Linked DNA regions of Rhinolophus ferrumequinum. The protein of the gene in region 1 purifies or fractionates together with the protein of each later gene. This does not show direct contact. Links are inferred from orthologs where the notes say so. Each region holds a gene or a part of one and is shown in the gene's direction. Other genes may lie near its edges. The genes, in order: KATNIP and CILK1.

Evidence for each region.
Region 2: the proteins of KATNIP (region 1) and CILK1 purify together in Homo sapiens (affinity purification with mass spectrometry; 3 studies listed by BioGRID and IntAct, with this or other methods). This does not show direct contact. The link is inferred for Rhinolophus ferrumequinum from reciprocal best matches to the Homo sapiens genes KATNIP and CILK1.

The regions. Positions count from the first base shown.
Region 1 is NW_022680357.1:1,864,366-1,879,886, reverse strand, and holds the start of KATNIP (katanin-interacting protein), read left to right. Parts: upstream 1-8,685; coding exon 8,686-8,808; intron 8,809-10,310; coding exon 10,311-10,387; intron 10,388-15,521. UniProt on the Homo sapiens protein: May influence the stability of microtubules (MT), possibly through interaction with the MT-severing katanin complex.
Region 2 is NC_046286.1:20,734,502-20,750,022, reverse strand, and holds the start of CILK1 (serine/threonine-protein kinase ICK), read left to right. Parts: upstream 1-8,100; 5' UTR 8,101-8,409; intron 8,410-11,272; exon of another isoform or gene 11,273-11,292; intron 11,293-11,434; exon of another isoform or gene 11,435-11,549; intron 11,550-15,462; exon of another isoform or gene 15,463-15,521. Other genes in the region: FBXO9 (F-box only protein 9), read right to left, coding at 1,408-1,494, 4,354-4,359.

The DNA.
Region 1 (15,521 bases):
CGTCACCAGCCTGAAGTCACCACCTTTTGACAACACACCGGTCGAGCGAGATATTATAAAAACGCAGTTTATATGAGTGCAGATGAATTCTCCTTTATTCCGCCCTCGTCCCGATAGCATTCTTCGCCTGCCATCTGCCGTGATGCGTTCAGGGGTTGTGATTGTCACCAGCCCGGCACGTGTCCTGAGTGTGTGACAGCAGCCCCTCTCCTACACCCAGCTGCTCTCCCCCGAACCAGGTCAGCTCAGCTCCTTCCTCATCCTACGTGGGAAGGGAAAGCTGCATCCTTAAAAAGTTATGTCATCTTTTCTTTGCATGGCTTTCGGGTGGGTGTTAACTTTGCAGCACAACGTGCCTCAGGGTTCGCTCGGGGAGCTGGGTCCTGGGTCACTATGAGTTCAGATTTTGTTCCATCCTCATCAGAAACTTCTGAGTATTTCTAATCAGCGTCATCTCCGTTGCTAGTGTGAACTGAGCACGTGTTATACGCCAGGCAGGAGCCTAAGCATTTTGTATTTCTAAGGTGTTGTGTTAATCATCAGCCCCATTTTTTTGTTTTGCATTTCTTATTGAGATCTGATTTATATAACACACAATTCACCATTTTAAAGCATACAGTGCAGTGGTGTTTAGTATATTCACAGTGCTGTGCAACCATCACTACTATCTAATGTCAAAACATTGATGTCACCCCAGGTAGACACCCTGTACCTGTTAGCAGTCACTCCCCGTGAACCTGAAAGAAAGTAGGAAGGGAAGGACGGAGAGAGAGGGGAAAGAGTGAGAGAGGAAAGAAAGGGTCTTGGTCCCACACAGTCGGGGAAGGGGTGAGAGGGAACTACGGTGAACTGTCTTCTTTCTATTGCTGGATCTGTGGGATTCCTACGGCGACCCTGGACTGTAGTGTGTGAGACAACACAGCCTGAACCCCACTGCACTGCCCTGGATTTGAACGGGAGGTTTCACTTCCTGCCTAGGGTGTTCGCGCCACTGGGCACCTGTCGTGGGCACAAACAGGCTTTGCCCCTCATTGGGCTTAAAGCAGGCCTGGAATTTCAGAAGCCAGGTCCCTCCGGTGACATGTCCCCTGGGATCAGCCAGTGGGCTTGGACCATTCCCCATCCTCTGCCCTCCCCGCCCCCCTCCACCTTCCCCTGTCCACCTAGTGAGCTCCTTTACAGCTCAGCGCCGTGTCCTTTCCTCTGTAGAGCCTGCAGCCCCCGAGTAACGCCAGGCCCCCGTGCCCTGTACCCACCGCGCCCTGGCACAGGTGCGTCCTCCAGCTGACACCTCCCCCATGGCACTGGAACAGTCGTCTTTCCCTGGCCGCCTCGCGAAATTCCTTGAGAACAGGGATGTTGTCTTCCTGCCTTCTTTTCCTTCTCTTCCTCCTCATTCCTTCCTTTGCACAAGTACTTTGTAAGTTCCTTGTGTGGACCAAGCACTGGCCTGGGGCTAGGAGACACCGCAGTGAGATTCGGCACCTGCCCTGCGCCATATGGGTCTGGTACCTTGGGGGGACCCACAAACAAATGGACAGACTTTCACAGAGTGAGACGTGCTGGCTCCTCGAGGAGGCAGGCGGCCTGGGTCGTCAGAAGAGGCCCCAGGAAGGACCACAGGTGCCCAACAAAGGAACTTTCTAGGCCTGGGGAAACAACAAGGGGGCCCTGGTCTGAGAGGAAGGGGCTGAGCTTCTCCGAGAAGCAGCCAGAAGCCATTGGGCCAAGGGGTTTGGGGGTGTGTGTGGGAGTGAGGTCAGGGAGGATGGTGGGGCCAGACTGCATCACCTGTCTGCGCCCCTTAGAGCAGCACCCAACCTCAGGGGGAGCTCGAGACATGTTTGTTGAATAAATAGCAAGGGGCCCCTCTGTGCTACCACCTCCTACCCGGGGCTGCGGGGCAGCTCCTGGGGGGAGAGGGACCCGTCCATTCAGGCAGCCCCGGCTGGCTGGGCGGTGGTGACGGGATGGACCTCGTGAAAGATGCTCTCTGTGGCAGGTTCATTCCCTTCCAAGGAAAGGCTCTCCCATGCAAGTCAGGTGTGGAGGAGGGAAAATCCCACCTGAGCTGCCTCTCTCCTCCCGTCAGGCCCAGCGGCGGTCCTGCAGGGTCGGGAGCCTCCGGCAGGTAACAGCTGCGCTAAGGCAGGTTGGCACCAGCCTGGGAGTGGAGAGCGGGCGTCCTGAATCGTCAGAAGCTGTTTATGCTGCAGCCGGGCTTCCAGGGCCGCGTCCCCTCCGGGAGGAGGCAGTGGGAGCAGCCCCAGCCCATCTCCACCCACGGAAAGCCTCGGTGGACGTGTCCGCTCAGAAGCCTCCAGCAGCTTCCCGTGGCCTCAGTAAAGTACAGAGTCCTCACCGTGGCCTCTGCCCGAGTCCCAGCCCATTCCTCCCCGCCCGCCACCCCCTGCAGCCACACTGGTCCCCGCGCTGTGCCTCACATATGCGGAGTGCTCCCACCACATGGCCTTTCACTGGTTCCTGCCCAGATTCCTACAGGGTTCTTTTCCTTCCCTTCCTTCAGGCTCCGCCTTCTGGTCCTCCAGGCTCCTCCTTCTGGTCCTTCAGGCTCCGCCTTCTGGTCCTCCAGGCTCCGCCTTCTGGTCCTTCAGGCTCCGCCTTCTGGTCCTCCAGGCTCCGCCTTCTGGTCCTTCAGGCTCCGCCTTCTGGCCGTCTCGGACCCCCCGGCTAGGACAGCACCCCCTCTTTCCCTCCCTCTCTCGCTGCTCCCTCTTTTCGTCTCCGCAGCACTTAGCACTATCTGACATACCACAGATTTACTTATTCGTTTCATCACGTGTCTCCCTCCTCCCACTAGCACGTGAGCTCCCTGCTAGCAGACTCGATGCCCTCCCTCTGTCTCCAGAAGGTGCTCAATAAATAGAGCAAATGGATGAATTTGTAAAATGAGGGCAGTGTCACCCACCTGGCAGGGCTGTGGTGGACGTGGAACTTCCAGCCCCGAGTTTCCTCCTGTGTGGTTGCACACTTCCACGGGCCTGTGGGTGGCGTGTAAAACACGGGCTAGTTCCGTGTTTGTGTCTGCCTTCTATTGATGGCACGTGAGAATGCTTTTCTATCTATGGCATGAATGTACAATTTTCCTTCTTCAAGTCAACTCGTTTAAGATTTTAAAAGAGAACGTCTGTATTTGCCAGCCTACACGTTGGCTTATCACACACACTGCAACCTTACGAGGAAACTTTTCTGAGAATCAAAAGACATGTTACTTATTTTCTAGTAGACACCTATGTATGGAAAGTGATTTCTTAGATAGCTATGTGTGGGGTCCGAGTCCCAGAATGTAGTTTCCAGGCTCTCGGCCTCACGTGGAAAGGTGCTGGCTCGGGTAGTAGAGGGTCGTCAGCTGTGACTAGTTGGCCATCAGCTGTAACCGGTTAGCCATTAGCCACCGATATAACTGCCGTGGCTGGGTTGGTTGGTTGGTTGGCAGAGAATCGGATGGCAGATTGCAGCTCCTGCTTCCTGTGTCTCCAACCCGGCCGCCAGCGAGACGATAGCGGTATGACTCCCCTATCTGTGGCTCCGTGGGTGTTCCTTTTTGGCCTCACCGTATTCTGTCTTCTTATGTGGGGAGCAGGACCAGAGTCCCTGCATGACACTATGTAAGAAAAACTTTTTCATAAAGATGCAGCATATGGAATCCTGGAGTCCAGGAGGAAATCCTAGATTTTGGATCTGTATCGATATCCTACAAATCCTGAAACAAAATATAACGTCTCAGGGTGTGTCTTGGTCCATAGCAGGGAGGCATAGTAATAAACATAAGTGTAAGGTGTGTCCTTGGCTTACCCATCTGCTATGTGCCTAGTATGCGGCTTGGTTACCACGTCTACCCAGGGCCTGAGAAACTGAAATCTCTGCTGCAGTGTTCTGTGTTGTTTCATTCTACCTCTAAGGGGTGGTGTCAGCCATTGCTTTAGGTCTTCATTGCTTGGCTTCTGTTTGCAGTGCAGGCGTACTGGCTGTAGAGTGTTTGTGGTTTGTGTCCTGAGGATGGGAGTACATCTGGTACGTCAGCAAAAGCAGTGAAAAGTAAGCTCAGAATTATACTTTTTCATTCAGCTAATATACATTAAAGACTTAGAACACAGCACTGAGACACGAAGAACAGAATCTCTGAGTACAACGGGAGCTTTGGCATTTGGGGGCAGGTTTTGAAGGGTGAGTAGGAGTTTTATACTGTAAGATCCGTTTGGAACGTCTGTCACTGTGGGTGTAGGGCCCTCACTGAGAATGTTCATTAGGTATCATCTTAGTCGTCTACTAAACACTGCCCTGAGCCCTAGGATATGGCACAGACTTTGCAGTCCGACACCCCTGAGTAGTAGTTCTACGAGTGTACCACCGAGAACTCCCTCAGCTGTGTGTCTCTCTCTCTCTCTCACACACACACACACACACACACACTTCAAACCGGCTTGAGTAAAGAAACAAATGTATTAGCTCTTGTGACTTAAGAGCCCAAGATGGCACTGGCTTCAAGCATGGCTGGATGCAGGGGTTAAACACGGTTAATTTAAGAGGGTCTGCTTTCTGTCTGCTCTCTCTCTCTCTGTCCTCGGTTCTGCTGCCTGCCTCTGTGTTGGTGTTGCTCCTTGGACACACGTCTCCATGGGACATAGACGGATGTCAATCATCCCTTGATAGAAATGACTTCCGCTGTGGTCACCTTTGTAGCTCTCGGCGCAGGTCAGCTAATCATTCCAGGGGAAGCGAGGTCGGGACTTTTCCCGCAGGTTCAGCCAATCCCTGAGCTGAGTCTGCTGGCCTTCCTCTGGGGCCACGCATAGCCCTGAACCAGTTGCATGTCCAGGAGACGCAATGCCCTGATTGGCCAGGCCGAGGTCCACATGCCCTCTCTGGTGGCGCTGGCAGTATTATGTCCACCCCCACCACACAGATGGAGCGTGGAGGAGAGGGGTTGCCCCAAGAAAAATTGCGGCCTGCTGGCAATTTGCTTCAGCTTTCAAAGCCTGTTTCCACCTCTTTAAAATGGGGCTACTGACCCCAGAGCTTAGCATTATTTTGATCCCACAATAGGCAGCCACAGAAAGCATGATAAATGGCAGCTAAGGCGGCCGGAAGAGCGGGCCCAGGGACCTGGAGCGCCTGCTCAGAGCTCATACACCGTCCCTCGGTTAAAATGTGACCCTCGGGGGCCGGGGAGTAACTCAGGTGTGTGGACGTGCTCTGTGCACTCTGCGCTGCTCCCAGACCCACTGTGGTTCCCAGCCCCGTTAGGAAACCATTCGAAGTTATTGGGCTTCTCTGCGGGGGCCTGACAGCTGCCATTGGACATTCATCGCAGGCCCTGGAAACCGACAGGGCCCTCTGAGCGGCGCGGACGCGGCCTGGGCTCCGGCGCGCCCTCACTCAGCCCGGTTTAGGAGACTCCCAGGATTCTGGCCTCGGGAAAGCGGAATCCCTGGAATACGGCCTGGGCCGCGTGCCTTTGAAACACAAGTGACTCTTGGCGTGTCTTTCCAATGCCATTTTCTTCCCCCAGAGACCATTAATGATGTGCTCAGTGATAAAATTTACACCGTCTCTGGGCCAGCGTTAGGGGTAAGATGACAAGAACTACAGCAATGAAAAGTGGCGCTGAGGCTCTGCTTCTGTGTCACGTCCACCCTCCTTAGGCCCTTTGCCAACTTAACTCGCCCTCCTCAGCACCTGTCGCCCTAGTCAAAACCCCACACCTTTGCCCATGCTGCTGCTTTCTGCTTGAAATGCTTGTCCCTTTTCTTGTTGCCCCAGAATATGTTCCAACTTGAAAATCTCAGCTCAAATGCCTGTCTGTCTACCCCTCTCTCTCTCTGTCTATCTCTCTGTGTATTTTACTCCGTCAATATCGGGTAATATATCCACTGTGTGCATGTACTGTCTTAGGGTCTGGGAAAACACAAGTGATCAAAACGGATACAGTCCTGCCTGCATGGAATTTCCATTCTAGTGCAGGGGACAGCGCCATAAATAAGAGGCATCATAAATAAGATAAAGTAGGTATTATATTAGTGAGGGATTGGTGTGTGTGTGTGCACAGCTTGCAGTTTTACATGGGGCAGCCGGGGAGGGCCTCCCTGAGGTCAGTTCTGAGGCAAGCCTCGGAGGAGACGAGGAATCTGGGTACTGACCTGGGGGCCGAGCGTTCCAGGCAGAAGCAATGAAAAGTCAGGCCCCTGAGCGGGGAGCCTGCTGGGTGTCGACGGGGCCGCAGTGGGTGGTGGGAGCGGCTCGGAGACGGGCTTGGGGTCTGTGTGCAAGGCCTGGTGGCCACAGAGACCTGTGCAGAAGACATGATGCACCTGCCTTTTATCTGGACCCCCTGGCTATAGCAGGGACAGCACACGGCAGGGTGAGGGCAAAAGCAGGAGGCCAGCGAGGGGGCCTGAGCCAGGGGGTGGGGGCAGGTGGGGGAGAAGTGGTCCGAGGCCGGGGGGTCTGGTAGTTTCCACCTGGAGCTGATGGGTTGGATGGATGTGGAGGGGGGAGTGAGCAAGGCTTCGAGTTTCCTCATTCGGATCCGTCGCTTCATAGTTTATATATTTTTGATGGTCATTTGTCTCCTGTTTGTTGTCTTGGATGCTTTTGGTGACTTGACGAAAGTTATGGACAGATGAGTGTTCCCAGAGCTCCCAGCAAGCCACCCCGACCTTGCGGACCCCGGCCAGTGTGTGTTTGCTTGACTGGTTTGCACAGCGGCACGGGGTGTCATTCACACCACACGCAACATGAAAGGGGCCGAGTCCTGCACAGCTGCCCCTCACTGGTGGTCCAGTTCGGCCTCTAGGCAAGTTGATATCTGAATATATACGGGGGCCGAGCTTGTTAGACCATCATTGCACATGTAACAGCCAACCCAGTAAGCACTTGATAATGTTTGCTGAAAAACAGTGATGATAAACTTGGCACTTGACAAGGTTCTCACACCCTTGTGGGGTGCTTTATGGTTAATGTGCCCATTTCACAGCCTGACAAATAAAGCCTCAGTGAAGGGAAGTGTGCTGTGCTGGGAGGAGCAGTGTCTGGTGTCTGACCAGGCTGGGGTGAGCGTGGGCTGAGCTGGTGCTTAGGCAGCTGTAGCAGCTGTCGTCACAGCTGGATGTGGTAAAGCTAAGATGAGCCCAGGACCAGGCCTCCCCCTTCCGTATTCCCCCCGGCTTCCCATGGTCTGCCCCCCTAGGAATTTATGATCCGGCTAGGATTATAAAGGAGAACAAGAAAGAAAGGACCCTAAATGACTTCCGCTTTTCTCCTAATTACTCCTTAGAGCAGCCCTGTGAGGCAGACCTTACTAATGTCCCCTTTTTACAGATGAGGAAACTGAGGCTCAGAGAAGGTAGGAAACAAAGCTCAAGGCTCACCCCCTCAAGTCTCCAAATCCCCAGGTAGTTAGTGAGCAATATACATAGTTAAATGCTAACAATTTATCACTTAATCATACACTCTGCCACACTGTATTGTATGTTAATTTAATACTAATTTCAGGGTTTCAAAATGAGCTGAAAAGTGAATGCGGGTGAGACTGTCACGGGGAGAGAGACTTTGGGAACTGAACGGGCCTTGGGGAGGATTGGGTTGGAGGCTGCGGGGGAGACGGAATGAATTGTGGAAAAGGGAATACCACGAGGAAGGCATGTGCCGGGGGGAGCCTGGGAGATGGTGCGATTTAAAATGACGCAAGTCTGTGACGTACGTGTACCGTTCATTGCAAGCTTTCCTCGGTGCCAGGTAACTGTGCTAATCCCTTTCCACCGTCACTGCCTCCTATGAGAGAAAGGAAAATCCTCCCGGACGGTGCCGTCATGACCTCTGTGTCACAGTTGAGGAAACTGATGGCAGTGCTAGGACTTGCATTGGAGCTAGTGCGTGTCCTCCCCGCTCAGGCTCAGTGACGTCCCGTCAGAGGTGGGTGCGTGGTGAATGGTGGGGAGTGAGGAGAGGCCCGGCTACTCAACTCGTGTCCCACCAGCCCCGTCTGGGAGCTTGCTGGAACGCTCCGTCTGCAAGCCCTGCTGCATCAGGGCCTGCCTTTCAGCACCACCTCCAGGTGATTTGTGTGCACGCTTAGCGTTGAGAAGCACAGGCTGCTGAAGACTTGGGCTGGAGGTAGGCCTGTGCTCTTCACGTCTTTCTGATGACCTCTTCGTCCTGGCAAGGGCGAATGAATGTTCTGGAAGGGTTGGGGTGAAAGCCCAGGGCAGCCCACCACGGCTGAGCTCTTTGACGTTCTCCTAGTTCTCATCAAAAAATGTCCATCGAATGTGTCGTTCTGTACTGTAACATATATCAGTGGTCATTTGCATGTTTCAAATGGTTACGTGAATTGCCTTGGAATAGGATCCCGTTCGTGGAATATGCATGGGATGGCTGTGCTTGTGTCTTAAGTGGGGGGTGGGGTGGGTAATGATCACTTCAAGGACGGCGGGGAAGATCGAAGGAGAATCACGTATGTGGAGGGGCATGCTTAAATTGTCCTCATACATGTGCTGTTATTCTAGAAGGAACTGAGACTCTTCCCCTCACCCAGTGTCCTGCAACCAGCTCTCCGCAGCCCTGGACGAGGAGTAACTCGGTGGGTTCCCCAGCCAGGGGCCCCTTTCCTTGTAATCAGAAAGAGAAGTGACGGCAGAAGGAGAGGGACCCGGACAGGTTGAGATGGACAAGCAATTACCACCCACCTCCGAGGCCGAGGGAGGAAGGGTAGCCCGAGAGGCCCAGGCAGAAAGCTGCGAGGGAAGGGAAGCTGGTCCAGGGCTGCAGAAGCTGGAGGACGGGAGTGTGGGCAGCGATGGGTGGTCGGCCGGCCGGTCAGCAGTTGCCCAGAGCCCAGAGCAAAGGAACAGGAGGAAGAAGGGAAGAGCTATCCTATTTGGTTAAGGGGGTTTGGGTCACCCTTGGATAGGGTTCTGGAGGGAATAGTGGGGTTGAAGCCGGATTTTGACAAGAAGAGAGCGATGGAGATTTTTGTTTCTTCTTCTCCCCAGGATAATTCATCCAAACTGCATTTCTGTCACAAATGTCTCACTTGCCCTTTAAAACTTAATCCCTGTAACTTGTGACTAGAACCAAGCTGACATGGTCTCTTTAGTCTATTCCTTGGCAAAATAATAAATAAATAAGGAGCATAGAAAATTGTGAAGCAGTGTTTCTGTGGGATTCTACTTTGTTTAAAAGAATGTGTGTTTGTGTGTATTTTACGTATAAAATAAAGAAAACCATCTGGAGGACTATATATCAAATTATAATGGGGGGTTACTGTATATACATATGTCACTTTCAATATGTGTAGCTTCATTAATTTTCCCTCCATAAAGCTGTAAAAAAACATATTGTCAGATTGTGGTAGATGACGTAATTCTTTGGACTGAAAATGAAGAGACACTCAGCTGAAACTTGTAAAGCAGTCACGAAGTGGTCCAGAAACTTCTTCAGGCGTGGGTAGGTGTAGGGGCTCAAGCTCACGTCCGTAGAATCTCTCTCCCTCTCTCGGATCCCCTGTCTTCTCATCAACTTCATTCTCACGCGGTTCCAGGCTTGCGTCTCATCAGCTCAGCACCGCGGTGGAAAGAGAGCAGCTTTTTCCCGGGAGTGTCAGCCTAGCCCAGGGCTGACTTTCTAGGGCTCAACCCAGACCAGGGAAGCAGTGCAGCGCTGTGTTGGTTGGCAAGGCCAAGGCCAAAGTCCTGTGACCCAAGAGGATAACGAAGGAACCTTCAAGGGCATCTCAGGAAGCCAGTTCACTGAAAGAAGGGGCCGAGCGGTTGCTCAGAGCAAACCCAGTCTGGGGCCAAAACCCCAAATGTCTGCTCTGGAGGGACCTTCATTCTCTGAGTCATGTATTTGTGTAATGACGGAGTTGTTGATAGCAAGCATACATTTTTCTCGTGTGTTGGCAAGAGAAAAACGTGATCCCCTCCTAAAACAACTGATTTGGGACGCCTTCGGTTAGGACAATTGAGATAAGTCAATCAGGAGCCTGGAGAAAAGAGAAAGCCCAAATCCTGGCCGAGCCCTTGATTTTATGGGGCCTGGGAGAAACAAACAGGAGAAATGATCTCGATTTTCGTACGTCGTTAGTTGTGGTGAGGCGCCCCATTGGGCCATCAGGCAGCCAGCCTCTGGGGCTCTGGGTCGCCAGAGGGACGCGTCCAGGGAGCCGGCTTGCGTCAAGGTCCGCCCCGCCTCGCGGCCACCTGTGCAGAGAGTGTGTACTGCCCCCCCGGCCTCAGGACGTGCTTTCCTGCTTTCTGATATCACACCGCTCTGTTTCTTCATTTCAGGGTCTCACTAAAGGACATGTGCCAGACTTTGATGAGAAACATGATGAGTATTTAATATTGCTTCAGCAGAGGAACCGGTAAGGACGAAGCCGCTTGCCGGCAGCCCCTCCTGTTAGCCAAGTAAAAACCCTGTGTGGATGTATTAGCAGCACGCAGACTCTGTTCACGTAGCGAAGGGATGCCGTTACCTCCACACACAGGCTCGGCGTATTCTCTGCAATGCCGGCTCTTATTTCCCCATTCACTCATGTCACGGCATCTTTTGATGGAGCTGTAGCAAACTATTCGACGTGTAAGTGCCGCCTCTTGCCTCCCTGCTTCCGTTCTGGGAGAAGGTAGGTTTGTCCCGAAAAGCCAGACCTTGGCAGGGCCTGTGCATTGGCCGCCTGAAGAGCCCGTGCTGTGATCTTCCAGGCTGCTCCCGTCCTTTGAAATCAGAGCCTGTAATCACGCCTTGTTATGGAAAGGTGGTGCCATTGTCCATTTGTGTTTGAAGTTGGTCCCTACGTCATCATCTAAGGTGATGTTAGTGCGGATTTTGACTCGGGAGTGCCGGTTCTTGAAAAAGCCTGCGGTAGATGGCAGTGGTTAGTGAATAAGGTCAAAGCAGTGCGGTCTGGTTTGAAAGAAGTCTGGAGGGCTGTCCAAGTTCATTTCCGGTTTGCTGTGGCTTATTTGCAGGCCTGGCACCTTGCAGTAAGCCCGGTCTGCAAAGTCGGATGCTAGGAGGGGCCGGGCAGTGAGTGAAGCCCACTCAGTGGGTGAGGACAGTTGGGGGCCTGGAATTCTCGCTTCCAAGCTGCTGGGGCTCAGGCCACTTGTTGGTGGGAACACAGGCCCAGGGGTCCATATCCTCCCAAGACTAGGAGACAAGCTGGAGATCTGGGTTTGTGGGTTTGAGTCGTGACAACCGCCTGTGCTTTAATAAAATGTTGGTAATGAATGCAAATGAAAGTGCGAAACAAACGGACGAACGCCGTAGGCCTCTCAGACAGACCTGCAGGAGGCGGAAGGATGGCGTGCTAATTTGGGCCTTTGTGTTAGGGAATTAGCTTGGGGTCTTGCAGGTGACAGAGTCTGGGGTCATCATCCTGAATATGGACTCTGCCCTTCTCTGACAACCAGGACCTGTCACTTGGGGCTCCCGCGGCCTGTGGCATGGGACAAGTTTTTAGGTGCAAGATAGTCCCCTGTGTTGTAGGATTAGTGTTCCCACCCACCGGCCACTTTACTAATTCCGTTATGCCCCCCAGTCTCCATGACAACACCCTCGCCGCATTTCCAGGTGCCCCTGGTGAGGCCGTACCTCTCGCAGTGGGGACATCTGAACAGAAATCTCTCCAGCACCAGCCAGAAATGCCAGGCACTCCGTCTGTGCCCAACTCCTTCCGACCCAGGGGCGAGCGGCAACTACACTAGCTGAAGGCCAGTTAACTCAAACGTGGCTTTTTAATCGTCGTGGATGCCACAGAGCAGGCTGTTTTTACTCAGTTCCTGGCAAGCTGGACGGGGGTCCCCGAACCCCTGTGTGATCGTCTCATCAAATCCACGTGACGTGTCTGGGAGGAGAGTGTCAGATGAGCAAATGGCTTCTCATTAATCGGGGATCAATAAGTGTGCAATCAAAGAGGCACCAGCCGACAGCGCGGAGGAGAATATACGGCGACGAGGTGGCAGCACAAAGGCAGCTAAAAAAATGTATCAAAACTGAGCTGCCATAAAATATGGGGGATGTGTTGTCACCGAGAGGGAGCTGGCTGGACGACAGGAAATTAGAAGGTAGAGCTGGAAAGAAACAGCTCCAAATGGAGACACATGCAGAGAGGGTGCCGCTGAGCTATCGTCGGCTGTTGGTTCCAAGGCACCTTTTCTGGAGGGCCAGCCACGCGCCAGGCACCTCGTCCTGTCATCTCGTTTTATCTGCACACGACCCGACGAGGCAGACACAGTGGCTGCCCTGTTTTACGTACAAGGACGTGGAGACCCAGAGAGAGAGCTGTGTGCCCAAGGTCAAGAAAGTCTACTTTCTCATGTAGACTTTGCTCGACATGGTCATAAATAATCAAGAGGAGAGAAACCTGCCAGGGTCGCCAGTGGCTCCAAGTTCACTGCGGAGGGGCTTTGTGGGAATCAACTGCGGTTTGCTTGGAAATCCAGTTATAGGACCCAATGGAACACCAGCCGCTGAGCTTCCCACTGGGCCGAGAGGGCGATGAAAACCCGGCTGCTCCCCGGGGGTGCCTGGTGACCTCAGAAGGGCTGTGCAAGAAGAAAGAAAAGAAAAAAATAAAATAAAAAAAAAACCAGAAAAAAAAAAAAACCACACACACAAAAAAAGAAGGGCGGTGCAGTCACTGGGCGCGTTCTCAGGGGAGTCAGTCCACAATACAGCGGCCCCAAGAGGCTGAGTGACACTGCTCTTGGATTCATCCAGGAGGAGTTCACTGAGTACTTGCTCAGAGCCCAGATTCCCACCAGTGTGGGGAGAACACTGTGATGGGGGAACGCAGACTATCTTACTTTCTGCTCCTATGCTGGGAGGGATGGAAACCCATGGTCAATGGTCCTTAGGCAACAAGGAAACTTACTGGCTCACGAAATTGAGAAATCCAGGATGACAGTCTGGCTTCAGGCATAGCTGGATCCAGGCTCTCAAGTTACGTCCGCAGAATCAATTGTTCTCCGTCTCTCAGCTCTGTTTCCCCGTGTTGGAGTCATCGTAGGGCATTTCCCTCTCGGAGGCCAAAGCGGCCACTGGCCACCCCCACACCTACGTCCCACCTCGAGGGGAGGAGAGCACTTCTGCCCTCAGGGTTCCAGCAGGAGTGCTGAGAAGGACGCCCATGGACCTGACTGGGGCCCCAATCTCACCCCTAAGCCCGTCTCCCCGTGTCGGTGAGGTGGCAGGTCTCACTGGCCTCTCCTTGGCTGCCCAGTTAAGCTGGGGGTGGAGTGAGCCTCACCTAAACCACGGGGAATGAGAAGGAAGGAGTGGAGCAGCACCCAAAGGGGATCCACAGGCAGGGCTGCGTTTGGGAGGTGGGGGGAGGGGTGCCGGGTGGGCAGAAAGAACAGGTGTCCGCCGCACACCCCTTGCCTGGAGGAACCGCCCTTCCCTCCCAGCTGAGCACCAGGCCACCTGTAATGGAGCCGGAAGAAGCAGAAAGGGATCACGGGCTCCAGGAAAGGCCCAGGGGAGGGTCGAAGAGGTGGTGCCCAGCTCACCGCGCACAGACCCTCCCCGAGGACGCTGAGTGATTCTGGTCACTCAACTTCCTGAAAGACGGAACCACGCCCAGCAGAACTCAGGGAAGAGCAAGCAGTGTGACCAGCGGGCTGGGAGGTGAGGAGCTAACGGCCCAGGGGGGCTGTACAGACTCTCGATGGCGGCTGCGAGGCCAGATCCAGTGGTGTTTTTGTGTTTTGGAAAAGGTCACTTGAGGGAAACTTACAGGAAAACATGCCCACCTGACAGGCAAACCCACTGCCTCAAGAGGAGATTGAGGCAGAAAGAAGGAAAAGGGGAACCAGCATGCACGGGCGATCCTGCACGGGGCGGATCCATGAGGTGGGGTTTCAGCCTGGTCCCCTGTTTCCATCCCCGTAGCAGTTCAGACACGTGGAGGTGTTTGCGGTCTCAGTGTGAAGAAGAGGAAACCTAGGGACGTGCCCCAGGTCACACGGAGGGGGATATGGCAAGGCCTTGGGTGGTGACATCCTAGAGGACAAATACCAGAGCCTGCGGGCCACCCAGGTTCCGGGAGGAGCAGCAGGCTTTTTGCACCACTGCTCTGGGTTCCTCCACACTTTGAGGCTGGACTCAAATGCCACCACCTCCCAGACGCCCCCAGCTTGGAGCCACCGCTCTGCCTGGGCGCCCTCGCTGCTCAGAGCCCCTGTGGCGAGACTCCTGATGAGGAAACAGAAACAGCGGAGCCGGTGGCTGGGAGACAGGCTGCAGGGCCTTGTGGACCTGACTTTAAATCTGGCTGCTTCCTGGGCCAGCCTTGGTCAAGTTCATCTCAATCCCAGGGCCGGGAAGGACTCAGCCTGACAAGGCACCTGCAGGGCCTTCGTGAGGCCACCACCCCGGTGCGGGGGCTTCCTCATCACCGTTGTCATTTCAATGTGAAACGCCTTCTCTCTGAGCTGCCAGCCGGATCCTCCTCGAATGCCTGGCCCTTAGAGAACCCCTCAGTTGAGCCTTTGAGTAACTGAGGTCCGGGGGAGCCACGTGGCTGGACCCCGGTCACATAGCAACTTCCGCGCTCAGAGACCCAGACAGTTCCGCCCAGAACCCACTGCCACTAGGTCCACGAGCAGCACGTTGCCTGCCCGCTGAGCTGGGCTGAATCCTCTCGCCACCTGGGACCCTGCTTGTGCCCTGACCACCCACCTGTCAGGCATGTCCTGTCCCCGTCACTCCCTCGTGATGACCTGTGCTCTCCCTCCTGGTGCTTCCACTTCCACCAAAGAGCTCTCCGTACAAGGGATGCAAAGGTCAGCACGGATAAAGCGGACACGATGGCTGCGCTGTGCGTTCAGCCCACGGAGGCTGTATTCGGATGCACGGCCATGTCTCCTCTCCCCACTGGACCTGGAGTTCCTCGGGGCCACTTGTTCCAGAACTAGGTTCTGAGTGCATTGCTCCCCGTTCCTGGCACTCAGCACGGTCCCCGGGCCCAGGGCTCGGATTCTGCTGGGTGGGAAGGAGACTGAACAGACACAGACGCTGACCTGTAGGCTGCCGTGTGAGACGTGGTAGGAAACAAGCACAACCCGTGAGAGAATAGAGAGCCCAGGCGTCAGGGGCGGGGCTTCCTTCTTTGATGGGGCAGGGACCGAATCTGACTCCTCTGAATCCCCTTCACCGGGGCAGCTTTTTATGCAAAGCAGGCCATCAGTTACACAAACCCCACTTTTCTTTTGACGCCACACGATCCTGACTGATGAGCTCGGCTGCCGCAGAGGCGTTCCTTTAGTGGGTCCTTTCACAGTTTGAATAATTATCTCCTCATTTATCAGCTTCATAAATCCACACTGTCATAAATCATCCTGCTGAAGGAGAGGCCCACGTGGAGGGCCAGCCCCGGGTCCTGGGGACCAGGAGACCACCACAGTTGGTAAGGTAGCATCAGGGAACGGGCAGCGTCTGGAGGGAAGTGGAGGCAGGCCCCTCCTGCCTAGTGGTCGGATTTTCCGCCCCCACAG
Region 2 (15,521 bases), on another chromosome or scaffold:
AATACAGGTTTTTCCTTTCTTAAAATGTGTATCCATTTTTTTGGCATCCTCTTATATCCCGATGGTGGTGTTTGTTGATCCCAAGAGCACTGCTTAAAAAACCTCCTCCATGGTACTTTCCACCTCCTAGTCCGCTTTCGGGGAACCAACACAGGATGCCCTCCTCTCAAAGTCATTCCCATTCCTATAGGGTGGTGGACGTTAGTCCTGGCTTTTTTAAAAAAGGTGTATATACACATTAAGTTTAAAAATAATTTTCCTCTACATTCTGTATACTGCTTTGATTTTGGTTCCTACCTTCCTACATCTAACACACATACCTCTCACGTGAAGAATCTTTAGCAGCACTTTTAATTTTGACACCTTCCAAATAAATATTATAAAGCTTATAAATTCAGTAAGACACACTTAACTAATTACAATGAATATTTTTCTATTTCAATGCACAAAGATTTACCTGATCCTTTGAAATGGCTGCAGTGTATTTCACTATATGGATGCATCATTAACACAAGTGATGGATATTTACGTTGTATTCCATTTTTCCATATAAACAATGCTATAATAAACATTTTTGTACACATATTTTTACTCACTTTCCCCATTACTAATTTCCTGGAAGCAGAATTGCTGATTCAAAAGGAATGTATGTGTCTCATTTTGATCCATATTGCTACTCTGCCTTCCAAAAAAGCTGTAGCAATTTATGCTTTCATATACACTGCATAAGTGTTCTCACAGCCTGTACGGCAACGGGCATTACTACCAACCAATCTGATCGTTTTAAAAAAAAAAAAATCTCGGGAATACTGGAGATCTTGCTTCCCAGTCATCAGTTTGGGCTCAAATAAACTCTTTTAAAAATTAAAAAAAAAAATCTCATTGTAGATTTAATTAGCATTTTTTAATTATCAATGAGGCTAATTATCTCTTCAAATGTTTAGTAGCCATTTATATCATTTTTCCACGAGTTGTCCATTCATCTCTTTCTAATTTATAAAGAATGTCCTATATATGGAGGCTATCAATCCTCTGCTCATGTATGGTAAATAGTTTATACAGCTGATTAGTTTTCTTGATTCATGATGTTTTTTGCTATATATAGATTTTAAACTTTTAGGTCAAATCTGTCAATCTTTTACTTTAAAGTGATGAGTTTTAAGCCTACCCAGGCGTGGACACTTTAAACTCATACACTGAACTACATAGCAGCAATTATTGATATATCTTTTTATAGAAAAAGAAATCCATAACATAGTTATAATTTCAGTATTCCATAGGTGAGTATAAAAATACAGTTAAATTCAATGCAAATAAGAACCTATAAATCCTCACAATTATGACCAATTTTTGCTTATGTATGCAAAACGATGGAATAAGAATTAAAAACACAATGAAGAAACATGCCTGCAGATCTGTTTCAGCAGGGCTTTCGTTTTCATCATCATCTCCTACTCTGATAGTATCAGAATGACAATCTTCCTCAGCTTCTGCCTGAGGGAAAAAGAACAAAAATAATGATCAGGAATATACAAACATCAGTTTCCCTCTGAAAACTGCATCTCCTATTCAGCTACTTACCCAATGAAATATATAGTTGTTTCTCTCTAGATACCTTCTTCACAGTAAGTTTAATGATTCCAATCAGAAAAATCTGACACTTTATAATTTTTTAATACTGTAGAATAAACCACTTCACTGGGCTCTAGTTTAAAGTGGTTGAAAAGAACAACTTTGCTTCAGAAAATAACATTTAGTTGTGGTATAGAGTTCAGCAAATAATTTTTGTTTCATGGATCACTTAAAAGACCATGTATAATCCATATATGGATATCCCTTCTTTTACACACTGGCATATTAATATGTGAATATGAATTTTGTTTATTACTATTTTAAATATACTAGGAAAGCTCATAAAGACATATAAAGTGAATGTTTTTGTAAAGAAGCCCCTTCTATTTTCTGTGTTTTATAAATCAACATTTTAATAGATGAACTTAAAATGGAATAAAGCTGGGATGGAATTACTATGCCTGGCTTGGAGCTTAATAGAGATCTCAGGTCAGTTTCCTTTCATTTTACCCTTTTGCTCTCAATAAATATTTGCTAAATTAAACTGAACCCTACCTTCCAGTGAAGATGAAATACCGCGTAAGTTCAGTCTGTTAGCTAATAGACTTATTAGCAAATGGGACTTGCTCAACACTTAAAGTGTTCAGTTCCATAAAGAAATGTGGCAGTCAGAGAAATGACTTTGAAGGTTAGTTAGAAACAAAAATAATAAAACCTATTTAATTTAACTCGTTCCAAAGATAGTTTCACAATAGCCAATTTTAGTTGTAATTTGTTTCCAGGAAAAAAATGTTTGTATTAACACATATATTGGAATACAGTAACCCTATATACTTACACTACTTTACAGTGCAACATAAACAAGCCTCATTTCCTATCTTATCTCTGGCGACCAGACTTAAAGCAGAGGTGCCTTGAAGACTTGGACTAGTTAGTATATGGTAAAGTGCTTGGCCCACTGTAAAAGCTAAATCAGCAAAGAAATCACTGGGAGAGGCTGAGACTCATAGGAACTTCCAGAAAACTGGAAAATGTAAGCATTCACCTATTATTGTCAGATACTTTTCTTTTTTTGAGTCTTTAAGCTGGGAGCTTTCTCTACTAAGAACATCACTAACAAGAAAATACACAATAAGGAATTTGAATTTATAGATCCCATTGAGAAGTGTGTTTCTCTCTCTCTCAAATAAGAGTCCGCTTTATTACTGTGAACTCTAAGTACAGCGAATAGGAGGAGATCTGAGTTCTCTAGGGTACCCTCTTAGTCACAGCCTTTACCTCTTGCCTAGTGGTCATTCTAAACTGACTTCAAGAGCCCTGCTCACTGCAGTTCCGTGCTCATATGCTGCTTGCTCTCTCCATCCGGAATGACTGCTTCTTCCTCACTCGGCTACTTCTTTCTACTCAACCTTCAAGATTCAGTTCAGGAATCATCCCCGTAGGAAGCATTTTCTGATTGTTTTAATTGCCTCCTGTTTTCCCATTACACTTGTGCTTGTATCACAGCACTTAAAACTGGTATTTTGATTATTTTTGTTTCTTTGCTAGTTAGTGCACTGGGTGGGAACAGGGATCACATCTCAGTCATCTCTGTAACCTTAGAAGGCCAAATACATTGCTTGATTCACTGTAAATGTCTGCCCAGGCCTCAGCTGTCTCATCTGTAAAGAGACGGTGTTGGATTTGGTGACCTTTAAGGTCCTTTTCCATATGTGACATTCTATGATTAACTTTACCACAAATTACCTGACAGATCTGGTTATATTGAAGATTTATTTAGTATCGTACCAGGGTCTAGCACTATGCCAGGTTGATAATAGGTGCTCAAAAAAATTGGTTGAACTAACAAATAAAATGCCACATGGATATATGATGCGTGTCTCAAAAATGAGGAAAGGAAACAGGAAACCTATAGTACAGACAGCATCTTTCTTCTTCCCTGATCTCCTGTGTTACAGTAAGAGTTCTAATCCATTACTACTTTGATTTTGACAGTATGATAAAAACAAGAAACTATCGAATTTGGGGTTTTACTACAATTTTCAACTCAAATACCACCTGAAATAAGTAGGTACTCGGCTGTCAGCCAGAGTTTTTCACTTTATTTTTCCTATTTAAGTTTGACCTAAACCTCACCCTTCACTTGAGTAGCTCATGTCTTCATTTTACTCCTGTTTTACTTATGGGGTTAACGAAATATAAAAAGTTAGGTGCTTAACCCTGGTCAGAGAACTACTTTTGGAAGTTTAGGGGATAGTCAATTACTGCTTCTCCTATCCTCCGGATTAATAAATTCATTCAGCTATTCATTTAACCAATAAATACGTGAGCGTGTACTATAAGCTAATTAGTTTGGTATCATTTTACCCTTGATTCATGCAACCCTCTCCAGAGATAGTTTCTCGGATGGACAATTTATCCAAAGCCACAGAAAGGCAGCACAGGGCAGACTACGTATTCCAGCATGCCACAGTCCTATGCAATTTGCGTTGCCAATCTCTGGAGTTTAGCTCAGACTCTCCATTTGGACCGCACTGACGCTTCTCCGGCCCTCACTGCTGTGGGGTGAGACACAATCCTTCTAACCCCAGGCCGCCAGCACCGCCTGCCAATATCCTACCCAGGGGACTGGCGTCACGGGTCAGGTGCGTCCTAAACTCACGGCCTCCGAAACGGGCCCGAATCGCCTTTTGTGGGCACGGCTTTCCAGAGGAGGCGCAATCAACAAGTGTCTCCGCATGCCCAGGCCCCCTCCGGGTTTCAGAGGCTGCGACGGCTCACCTCCATCTATGCTCACTGCCTTTGATAAAATCCCTCAAGAGGGGCGAGACTGGTTCAATGTCTTTAGCGAGCCGCGAAGAGGCATTTTTCTCGGCCGTCCTGCAAACCCGCTCTCTGCACATCGAATCCCGGCTGAGGGGTTCAGCAACCAAAAAACCCCAGAGAGCGGTCAAGGCGGGCACCCACTCCACTCCCTCTCAGGCCAGAGGTCCTGATGGGTAGCGGCCGTGCAGCTCCCGCTTCTCAGCCTCTTCTGGCTCCCCTGGGGCTTTCCCCCAGGCCCGGCACCTCCTGCACACTGCACCCCCGCATCGCCTAATCCCCTGCCCCCTCCTCAGGTTACCATGCTGGCGGGCCGGGCGGCCGCGGTCGAAGGGCTCTCTGCGCCCTCTCTGCACCGCCCCCCGAGGAGGTGTGCTGGGTGTCTGAGCGTTTACTCCTGCCTGTCTGCTGCAGCCGGGCTTAGTAGAGTTCTCGGTCGGAGAAGCGCACCAGGCAGCGGCAGTAACTGCGGGCCCGGCGTACGGCAGCCATCTTCGCGGGGCAGGCGGCCAGATCGGGGCGCGCTGGAGCGGGGGCACGGGACACGGAGAGCGGAGGGACGCCCGTTGCCAGCCGAAGCCGAAGCCTGTGTGACAACCAAAGCGTCGTCCCTGCTGGAGACCCCGGACGCCGCTGCAGATCTACCCCTCTGCTGCGGAAACCTGCGCCGGCGCACCGAGCGTGCGCAGTGCCGCCGCCGCCTGCGTCCGCGGCGCCGTTCCACCGCCGGGCGCTTGCTGCCTAGTAGAAGGAGAGCGGGCGTGGGCCTACTGTGTGCCGAGGCATGATGTCACCAATTGGCCGCACCCCAAACCCAACCCACTTATTCGGCTCAATGAACACTTATGCAAACTTGAAAAAGCGTCAACTCAAAAATGTCTGTAACTCAAATTAAGAGTTGAGACCCTAAAGCGACCAGCCCTTATGAGCATCAAACTACGCTCGCTGCACGCTCCTGGGCGACTCTAGCTGTAGTCCACGCCAGGAATGCAGGGAAACAGTGAAACTCGCCTACAGTCACAGGCTGTTATAACGATTAAACTTTTTAAAAGCACGGGTCTGGGGTTTGAGGAAAAGATGCATTTAGGAGAGCAGCAAGGGGAAAGGAAACTCAGCGATCGCAAGGAATCGCACTACAAATCCCATCATGCAATGGGGTAAGGACGTAGAGGCTACACGGCCTTGAAACCCGAGTCCTGCCCAGACAGCGCCGGGGAGACACTCTGGGATTTGTAGTCTGCTGTTCCGCGTGGAGCGCCGGAACTTACACAAGGTACTTGCCCCACCTTTTAAAGCGCAGATACCTAATTTCACGTCCCCGGAAGGCGCTCTTATTTATCAGGCAATATGTTATTTTCCCACACTTTACATTGTTTTAAATACGGAATTTTGCAAGCTCTATGAAAGCCTATAGTCTTATAGCCACTTACATACGTCATTCAGCAAACATTTTTTGGAGTTTCTAGTTTCTACTAGGTACCAGGTACTAATGGTCATCAGGATTCTAAGACCCTACTTTCAGCGAATTAACAGAATTTAAATCTCTTAAATATTGTTTTATTCTGGAGATCTTAGAAATGCGGTACATCTTCGGCAGAAAAATAGAGGCAAAAAGGGGGCGGGCGGCGGGGACGGAACGGTGAGCTACAATATGGAAGCCCAACTGCTGCCTCAATATTAGGATCCACCTTCGGATGAGTGTGATTTTAGTTGCACCCTAAATCAGCTACCTATAAAAAGTACCTTTATGTTTAACGGAGGCCAAAAATTTAATAGTTTTTAAAAGAGACTCTAGGGTTGAGGTCTTTTAAGGATGATTTTCCTCCCAATGTTCTCTTTAAAAAGATTTTGAAATTTAAATCTGGAGGATTAGATGTAAAAACTTAAAATAGAAGAAAATTATATATGTGAATGATGAATACAGAAGATCAGTTTTGCAAATGAAGACTGAGGTATTAAAACATTTTGGGAACTACTCTATTCGTTAAAGGTGTTGAATGCTAATTTAAGATATCTTGGTTAATTAGCACAATGGTTTCTGTTAATCTAGCAAATAAACAATAAAGTTTAATAAAGTAATAATTAGTATTCGTAATGATAAACTGAGCACACATTTTATTAAAACGCTATTAGGTTTCATAGCTACTAATTTTCTATATTAGATTAGTATCCACTAGACCTCTTTACAGGACTGTGTTATTTCATCATATTATATTTATAGGGTTGTGATTTTTCTCCAGGCTAGAACTACTGACCTAAGCCATTTACTAACCCAGCGAATCCGTTCAAGTAGACAAAGATAGTCCCTCTATTTGCTAGGTAGACTTGCTTGGACAACTGAATTTGATGAAAGCTGATAATTTGAGATACTCTAAAAATCATTTTTCATGGTAGTAACGTAAGATACGTCTTCCTAACTTTTCATTAATAATGACATTCACTTTTCATTTTCCACAGGGTTTTTGTGTTGTACAGGTAAGCACAAAGGTAGATAAATGTTATACATTTGCCAAGTTGCCAGGTGATCCTTTCCCATTTAGGACAGGAAGTCTAAGAAAGCTCCACTCTATTGTATCTTGCAGGTTTCTTCAGCAGGAGCAAGGGGAGAGAGGCATTCAGGCCTTTTGTATAGATTTTTTAGGAAAAACTGTCTTCAATTCTTAGAATTCAGACATAAAAATAGTGAGAGAAAATTGATATGGTGGCTGGGGAATTTAAACTCAAAGAAAGATCCACAGTGTATAAAAAGGTTACTGCTTTATTAAATAAAATTGTGTTGCTTAGGGCAATGTGGTTTCCCTTACCAGCAGCAGCAGCAGAGCAATCTGGGGTGTGTGTGTGTGTGTGTGTGTGTGTGTGTGTGTGTGTGTGTGTGTGTGTGTGTGTGTGTATTTAAAATTTTTATTAAATATATGGGGTGACATTGGTTAGTAAAAGTATATAGGTTTCAAGCGTGCATTTTTATAATACATCATCTGATGCCTCCAACTAAAGTTTGAGAACCATTGGTTTGGGGCAATTATGTAAATTTAAATCAAGGACCTTAACGCAATTTCTTTTTCAAAGCCCTTCAGAGCCAGTCATTATATAGATGATTTAAGGTAATGTCTACAATATAATTTATGACACAGTGAATGTGCTTAAAAAGTGTTAAGTGTTAGATTTCATATAACTAGTTATAGAAGACAACTGTTGTGTAGAGCATATCTAGTCTGTTTCCTACCTGGATAACAATCCGGTCTTTCAAACTAAAGTTGCTAACAATATAAAAACTCTTAAAGTTCAAATGAATGCTAACAGGCAGTCAATTGCGTCTTTATTTTAAACATTTTTGTGGTAAAATACATGTAATACAATTTGCCATCTTAACAATTTTGAGTGTACAATTCAGTGGCATTGATTTCCCTCACGATGTCTTGAAATCTGTTACATTTTTTTCAAACCAGGAAAAATGTTTTCACCATGATTACCTGTAATGAAATGTCCCTAGAACGTACATCCACGGCTACCGTTTCTAAATCCTGATACTTGGTGCAGCCGATCTGCATGCAATAAGGCGTGCGTTTGGAGCAGAGATCGCGTTCATGGTCAGCTGGCCGCAGGCTTCCCTGGGCTCAGTCAGGCGTCTAGCCCAGACCGGAGCGCAACTGCTCCGCGCCCCAGCTCCGCGCCTCCGGAGGCCTGCACGCGGTGCAGGGACGCGCAGGGCCAGCGAGGGGAGCTGCAGGGTAACTTTTCCCAGGGAAAGCGGCCAGTCGTCCCCACTAGAAGCCTCCCTGCCTTTTGTTTGTTTTCCTGCTGGAGGCTGGAGAGCGGCCGGGTTCCTGCTGCTCTACCATGCGCTGCGCGGCCGGTGCGACTCGCCGGACCTCCCGGGCGTCCCTGCACGGACGCCTCGGCTTCTCCTAGCAGGGATCGTCCCCATTCCCCGTTCCCGAGCGGGCTGCTGCGCCCCACTTGCCGAGGAGCTGCGCTCACCGCAGGAGCGGGCCCCCGCCTGTGTTCACCTCGCCAGTAAGTGGGGTCAGGGATTTAGGGGCTTCTGTCGGGCGACATGTCACTCGGGGTGCTGGACTGAAGCTACGGAAGGACCCCTGTCCCGTGGAGCAGTGGAGGATCGGAGAGGGGAGGGAGAGGTTAATGGGTTGTAGTTTCTCTTTACGGTCATGTGGGTCTCTCCCTCTTGTCATGAAAACTCCCTTTTCCTCGGAGTCTGGAAGATTTTGATGGGTGTTTACCTTTTAGTGTTAAAGAGGGGAAAGATTCGTACCCGATATGAAGCCCCTTTAGTAGAACGTGGAGGACTTGCTCTTGGAATTTTCCTGACTAGGCCTTTGGCTGTCCCGCAAGGGCTCTGAGCAAGAATCCTCACACATTTATGTGCAACCATTTTTCACTGGGGTTTCTTTCTGCTCTGATTTCTTTCTTACTAATCTGAGAACATGTTGTGAGAGGGATGTTGAAGGATTTTCCAGAACAAGAGTTTCTTTTTTTATGCAGCTTTTAAAGCTGACTTGGACACTAACATTGAGGGCTTTTACTTTTAAATATAAAAGTAGTTTAATGCATCATTCTGTATAAAACACTGTTCATTTCCACTTAAAACTAAATAAAGATCTGCTTTTGCTAAAGCTCGACTGTGCTGAGAATACCATCCTGAATTTTGCACACAGGGCTAGATTTCTCTCAAGTATTGGCAGTTGTGGTGTGTGTGTGTGTTTTAATTTTGGCCTAGAGCACTCTTTGTAGTAATAGAAGTTTAATAGCTACAGTTTTCATTTCTCACCTTTTCCAATGAGTGGACTTTCTGGATGTGCCCCCATAGTGAATTATTATTGCGGGAAATAAAATTAAAATGAACTTTAAATTTGTGTAGTCAACATACAAATGATTAAGAATTTGTGTCTCAACTATATGCTAGCTTTGCTAGGAGTTCATGTATGCATCAATATGCACATTTGAAATACTTTGAGAAAACAATGAAAGCGCTGCTGTTTGGTAAAGAATCTTCAAGGCCTTTTTATCTATTTGAGGACCAGTAATTGTAAAATACTAGGCAGTGGTTGTAGAAATGAGAACTGTGCTGAGATCCTTTATGTGAAATGATATCCGTACCACTGCCCCCTCCCTAAGGTTCAGCTCTCTACAGTGACCCTGCCCACTTTTTACTTCTCCCCTCTCCACTTTGCCTTGTCCCTCTTCCCCAAAGTCAAAACTGGTGGCTGGGCAGGAATGGGCAGTCACATTTCTAAATAAGACTGGTTTAGTTGTAGATGATGGAGGGATGGTTTAGCTGTAGGTGATGGAGGGTTGATGGAGTCTGTCCGAGAAGGCAGAAGTCTGTCTTCCATGCCCAGGGAACTCATCATTTAGTCACAGAGAAATGGTCTTTTCTCAGTAAAGTTTCCTACCTACAGACTGTATGTAAATGAGCTACCAGGATAAAGAACAGGCCTTTGTCAGGGAGGGGGGGGCGGGTATTTCTGGATTGTTCAACATCATCAAAGCTCTTTTTATACTTTCATTGTTTGTTTTATTCTCATTGCTTTTTGAGGTTCCTCGTAAAGGTGGAAATTATGTCAATCTTTAACCTTTGGAATTATCTTTATCTTTTCCTTCAATTCCTTCCTCCTTTATGAGTCAAGACCTTTGAAATGTGATGTATATAGATTCCTCCCTCTATATTTTAATCCAGAACCTCACCCTTCCTCCCCTGCAGACTGGAGCAACCTCTTAGCTAGCGTCCCAAGCCTGGCTCTTTGTAAGTCCTCAGTAAATGTGTGCTGAATGAATGAATGAATGAATGAGTGAATGAATGAGATGCTCCTCTTTCTGGAATCTTCTGCATTCCTTCTGCACCAGTCTAATGTTTTTAAACTATCACTTCTTTATGTTTCTCCTTGCCACCTTCAGTTCCTCTCCATTCTCTGCTATCTCAAATCTAAAAAAATGTGCCTGATGTTTCAAGGTCTTTCATAATCAGGTCTCACCCCTCATATGGAAATCCTACTTTCAGTTCATCATACATCTTTGTGCTCAATGTCGTTTGGTCTTCCTGCTGTCCCACTGCGGAGTCGCTGCTCAGATTGCTCTCCCTAGAAACTCCCTCCCTTCATTCTACTCTGCGGTGCAAATCTTACCCATCCTCCGAGGAGGAGCCCAAGTCCTACTTCTTTCATAAATGTCTTCTCTAACTACTAATTTCTCTTCTTTCTTTAAAGTTTTAAGATTGTTTGTTAGCCCTTTGTTATACTGTCTATATTGATCTCTAATTGGTTTAGGCTATTTTAAGCCTCTTTAGGCAGGAGCCATATTTTATGCATGGCGATGTGGTACACTGGGCTTTGGAGTCAGGCCGAATTGAGGTCAGGGCCTGACTCCGCGTATTACTCGTGTGGCCTTGTGGGAGTTGCCCAGCATTAATCCTCTCACATGTCACGTAGGGGAAATGCCTCCCCCAGCTGGTTGTGCTGTGAAGATGGTCTACTGGCTGTACAGAGCCTGGCATAAGCCTGACAAAAATCTGCCCGTCCCTGGACCATGACTCGCAGAGGCCTGACCGTGTGGCAAATGTTTGGTCGATGTCTGTTGTAATAGACCACAAGTCACGGCTCAGCCACGAGGCCCAGAGGATGGGCAGTCAGTCATGCCGTGAAGCCTCAGTGAGGGTTATCCTGCCCTTACTTAAAATGGCTTGAGCTTAGGTTATTCCTGGCTAGAGCTCTGCTTCTGGGATCTGTTGCTGTTTTTCCATCTGAACCTTGCCAGGAACACGACCGCCTTTTAATTTTTTTTTTTTTTTAAACTGCTTTTCTTGCCTCAAGCTCCTCCATTTCATTTTGCAGGATCCTGCTGAATTGGAGTTTCACCTAGCCCTTCTATTTTCCTGCTTGTGGGGTATGTATGAGGGTCTGTGTTTATGGTAGGACTTCTTGCCTAGTGCTTTCTTGGCAGAAATCTGGGTACAGTGACCTTTCTGTATATGTTGATCTGTCAGCCTGTGAATAGTGTCTCACTTAATTGTAAATTCTCTCATCAGCAGTCTTTGACACACGTGGCGAGAAGGGCCTCTGGCTATAGTATCAGAAATCTCCTGTGTGTGGATCTCAGTGTTTGTGGTTGACGTGTTTGACTGGGAGAATGCGCGAAGGGAGGTGTGTGCTGGGCAACTTACACACATATTGTCTGAGGGTGGTAGTGTTACTATGCCCTTGGTTGTGGTTGTGCTTACCTTTGAAACACAGTTTTAACTTCTTTATGAATATACCTGTGTTTTAGATAATTACCTCATAAAAATAATTTAGTGAAGCAAATCATTTCGTGGGGCAAATTGCCTTAAAATACTAAGAAAGTGTGGCAGGAAGAAATCAGAGATACCTTTCCTTGCAGCCAAAGAGGAACTTAAAGAAGCAGTGCATGCCCATCTCGAGATGGGAAGGAAGGCTGAGGTGGGCACACGCTCAGTCTCTCTGTGCCTAGTGAGGAGCTGTCTGATATTAGGAAAATATTACTACTCAACAGATCCTTGAAAAATACTCAGTCCTAGTGGAAAGCTTCCGTTCCTGATTTCTTTCCAAGGAAACTGAAGCATACTTGCTCATTGACGCGTTGTGCTTTGAAAGTCGAAACCTTCATAGAAAGAGTGCTTGTGGTCAGACTTGCCTGTGCAGCTGGAATCAAATCCGATGTGCGCTGACTTGTGAAGTTGTCTGAGTTGGAAGAAAGCACTGTTCCGAGATCTGCCACTTTTTTTTTTCCCTGTATGTGGTTCAGGATTTGCAATACATTCATATACTTTTTACAAAGGGGGTGTGGGGACCATTGGATACATCTGTAACAGACTCTTAAAACGTTTCTTATGTTCACACATTAACAAATATGCTACTCTGAAGATAACAAAGGTCCCATTCCTAGTAGTTGGGTCCCTGGATCTCATCTGCAAAGTGGGGGTGTTGGATTATCATTAAGGTCCCTTACAAAAATAAAAATTAAAAAATCTAATTTTAGAGCCTGAAGTTTCCTCAACGTTACGCGGTGCCCATGTTGAGCTTCGGTCCTAATGAACTTAGCTATCCATCTATACTAATGAGCATTAGGTGCTACGTTACCTTACTTTACATTTTTCCTAAATTTTGTCATCCTAACTCAGTTTTTCAAAATGGAAGGGCCACAGTCGTGCTTCCTACTTCATTTGGTGCTTTCTTTCCATTATGCTGGGGGCTCTTAGTAGCCACCTGATAAATGTATAGCGATGGTCAAGAGAATGCAGGAGCCACATATTTTTGTGGCAAGATCCACGTGAGTCATTTTTCACCTTTCTGTAGGGATAGTTTGCCCTGTGATAAAGTGCTAATCATGTGATAATCATGTGACTGCCCTCGTGGTTACTGTACAAGATAATGGCTCAGAACCCAAAAGATAAAGTATCGTGGTATAATGTCCAACTACATATTTGACACTATCGTGAAAGTTAAGATCTGCATGAACTTGGAGTTGTCAGGAGACATGAGTTAATGGGTTTGTCCTCTTGGACACTGCCTTTGCTTCGAAAGTGAATCTATTGAGGATTGATTTAACTCAAACAAAACTGACTGAGAAAAAAGTAAGATGTCCAGGCTTACACGTTAGGTTAGCTGTTAAAAAGCTTACTTTTCTAACTCAGTGTAAGAGCTTTTAGAAGGATTCAGAATTTTTGTGCCCTAGTCCCCGTACAGTTATTCAATTTTGCAGAGAAGGGGTGGGTAGAGGGGATGGCAGTGGGGTAGGTGATACAGGAAAATCACCTATAGTCAACATTACCCTTTACAAACCTGGAAGCTGCTCATTCGTGAATGGATTCATTCAGCAAATCATTACTGAGCACCAGTTTGTTCCAGCTGTATGCCGGTGCTCATCTATCTACATGCGGAGGATACAGGTATGAACCTCACGAAGTTTCCGCTCTCAGAGAGCTCATGTTCTAGGGATAAATACAGTTTGTAGACGTAACCCTGTAACCTAAAGTAAATGAGTGGTGTGTGGAGACGGCCAAAGTGTTTCTGCTGATTTGCAGGGTTTCCTCTGTTTCAAGAAACTGAGGTCAAGAAACCGTGACCTGTAGGCATGTCCTGCCGGTCGCCTGCTTTTGTAAATTGAGTTGTCCTGGAACACAGCCGTGCCCATTTACTTCCATCTCGTCTGTGACTGCTTTTGTGCGCCAGTGGCAGAGTTCAGTAGTTGTGACAGAGACGTAGAGCCCTCAAAGCCTAAAATATTTACTCGCCCTTCGCAGAAAATGTTTGCTGACCTCTGCTCTATTTTATTTTTACAAGCCTTTACTTCCTTGATATGTGTTAATGATTTGTTCCTTGTTATACATGGTGGTGAATCATCTTACATTAAGTGAGATAAGCTCCTGAGTTAAATGTGCTGTAATATTTGCATAGCACTTGAATATGTAGTATGTTCTCATTCATCCGACCTTGCCCACCCTTAAAACGTGGAGGGGCAGTCAGGCAAGCAGCTGGGACCAGGACTATTGCCACCCTCAACAGCCCTCATTAAGCTGGGGGACTGTCACCCCAGCTCATCTACAGTTTTCACACTACTCAGGGTAAAGTTATTCTTCCTCCAGCTCTTTCACATTTCACTCTCCCTTCAGTTTTTTACATTCCATAAACGTAAAGCTGCGTGGAATGATGGGTCCTAGTTTAGAAATAATCTGCAAGTGATGGAAGACTCTTTTTTAAGGTTCGGGGCACCAGCTCCTTTGGTATTGCAGGAGAAGCCGTGGGAAGTTGTAGACCTTTCTCAGAAGCTAGGGATGATGGAAGAGAGGGAAATAAGACCAGTGTCTGGGCAATGGAAGAGGGCATGCCAGAGAACTGATGTTCTTCTCCCACCACGCTAGTTGATGCAGTAGCAGCTTCAGTGCACTCCTTTGTCAAGGTAAACGCAGACCAAGTTCCACATAAACAAGGTTTGGCCTTGTAGCTGCTGTCCCCAATGCAGAAAAAAGCATGTGTCCAAGAGGCAAAATACTTACAGGACATTTCTGCTAAAATATGAACACATATGTACTATTTTTAGTACCTTTTAAAGAGAAATCGACAGTGTTAACTTACCCTTGTAAAGTTATGACACCTTTGAACTAGCCTACGATGTGTAATTACATGAGGTTAATGTAAAGTGGAACTCAGAAGTACCACTGAATGCTTTCGCACACAACCCAGTTTTCCTATGAGGACAGATAAAAGTAATGGAATCTTTTCAGTGTGAAACAATTACAGCAACGGAGAAAAAGCTGCTCCTAAGGGTCTGAGTGGTGTCAGTGGGCTGGTAAACCGCAACTCCCAGAGAAGCCCTTGTTTGCATCCAATTTTCTGTCTCCTATCGTAACACGTGAGTAATTGTGGCATTTATTCAGTGACCATCAAAGTTCCAAAATAAGGAACAACTACCATTGTCCGTGGGCCCAGGCTCTGCTGCCCAGGCTGTGAATGAGCAGGGCACACCATACAACCTGCTGGCCTCGAGCAGATGTTTTTGCCTCCACTGGGGATTGAAGTCAAGGGGAGGGAATTGGGACAGATCGCAGGGAGGTTTTCCCCAGTGTCACCTAGCCAGGAAAACCATCACATTTATTTTAAAGATTGGCTAGAACTCTTTAAAAGTGAAATAAAACTGTCTTTCTTTGTTAGTTGGCTACAGCCTTACCCAGAGGCCAAAGGCCTGATCCAATGACATCTAGGGAGCGTTTCTGTGAGTCTCTGAGACTCAGTAATTCCAGCACTGTGGTGGGAGAGCCCAAGTGACCCGCCCGCATTAGCCTTTCTATAATATTTACGGTTCTTCCGTTTCAGAACTTCAGAACATTTCTGGTCAGGTTAAAACTTGATTATCATTACTTTGCACATGAAGAAACAGAAGCACCAAGAGTTTTGAGATACTTATCAAGGGTGGTACAAAAAACAAAGAGCCCCCTACCTGGAACTGCACTTCAATCACTAATCAAGTGCCTATTGTAAATGATAACAATAATAATAATAACCAATAGCAAAGACTAAAATTCAACTTTTGACCATTCAGACAGTCTTCAAGTAACTGCTGTGTGCAAGCGGAGTGTGAGGTTTGAGAACGGAGATGAA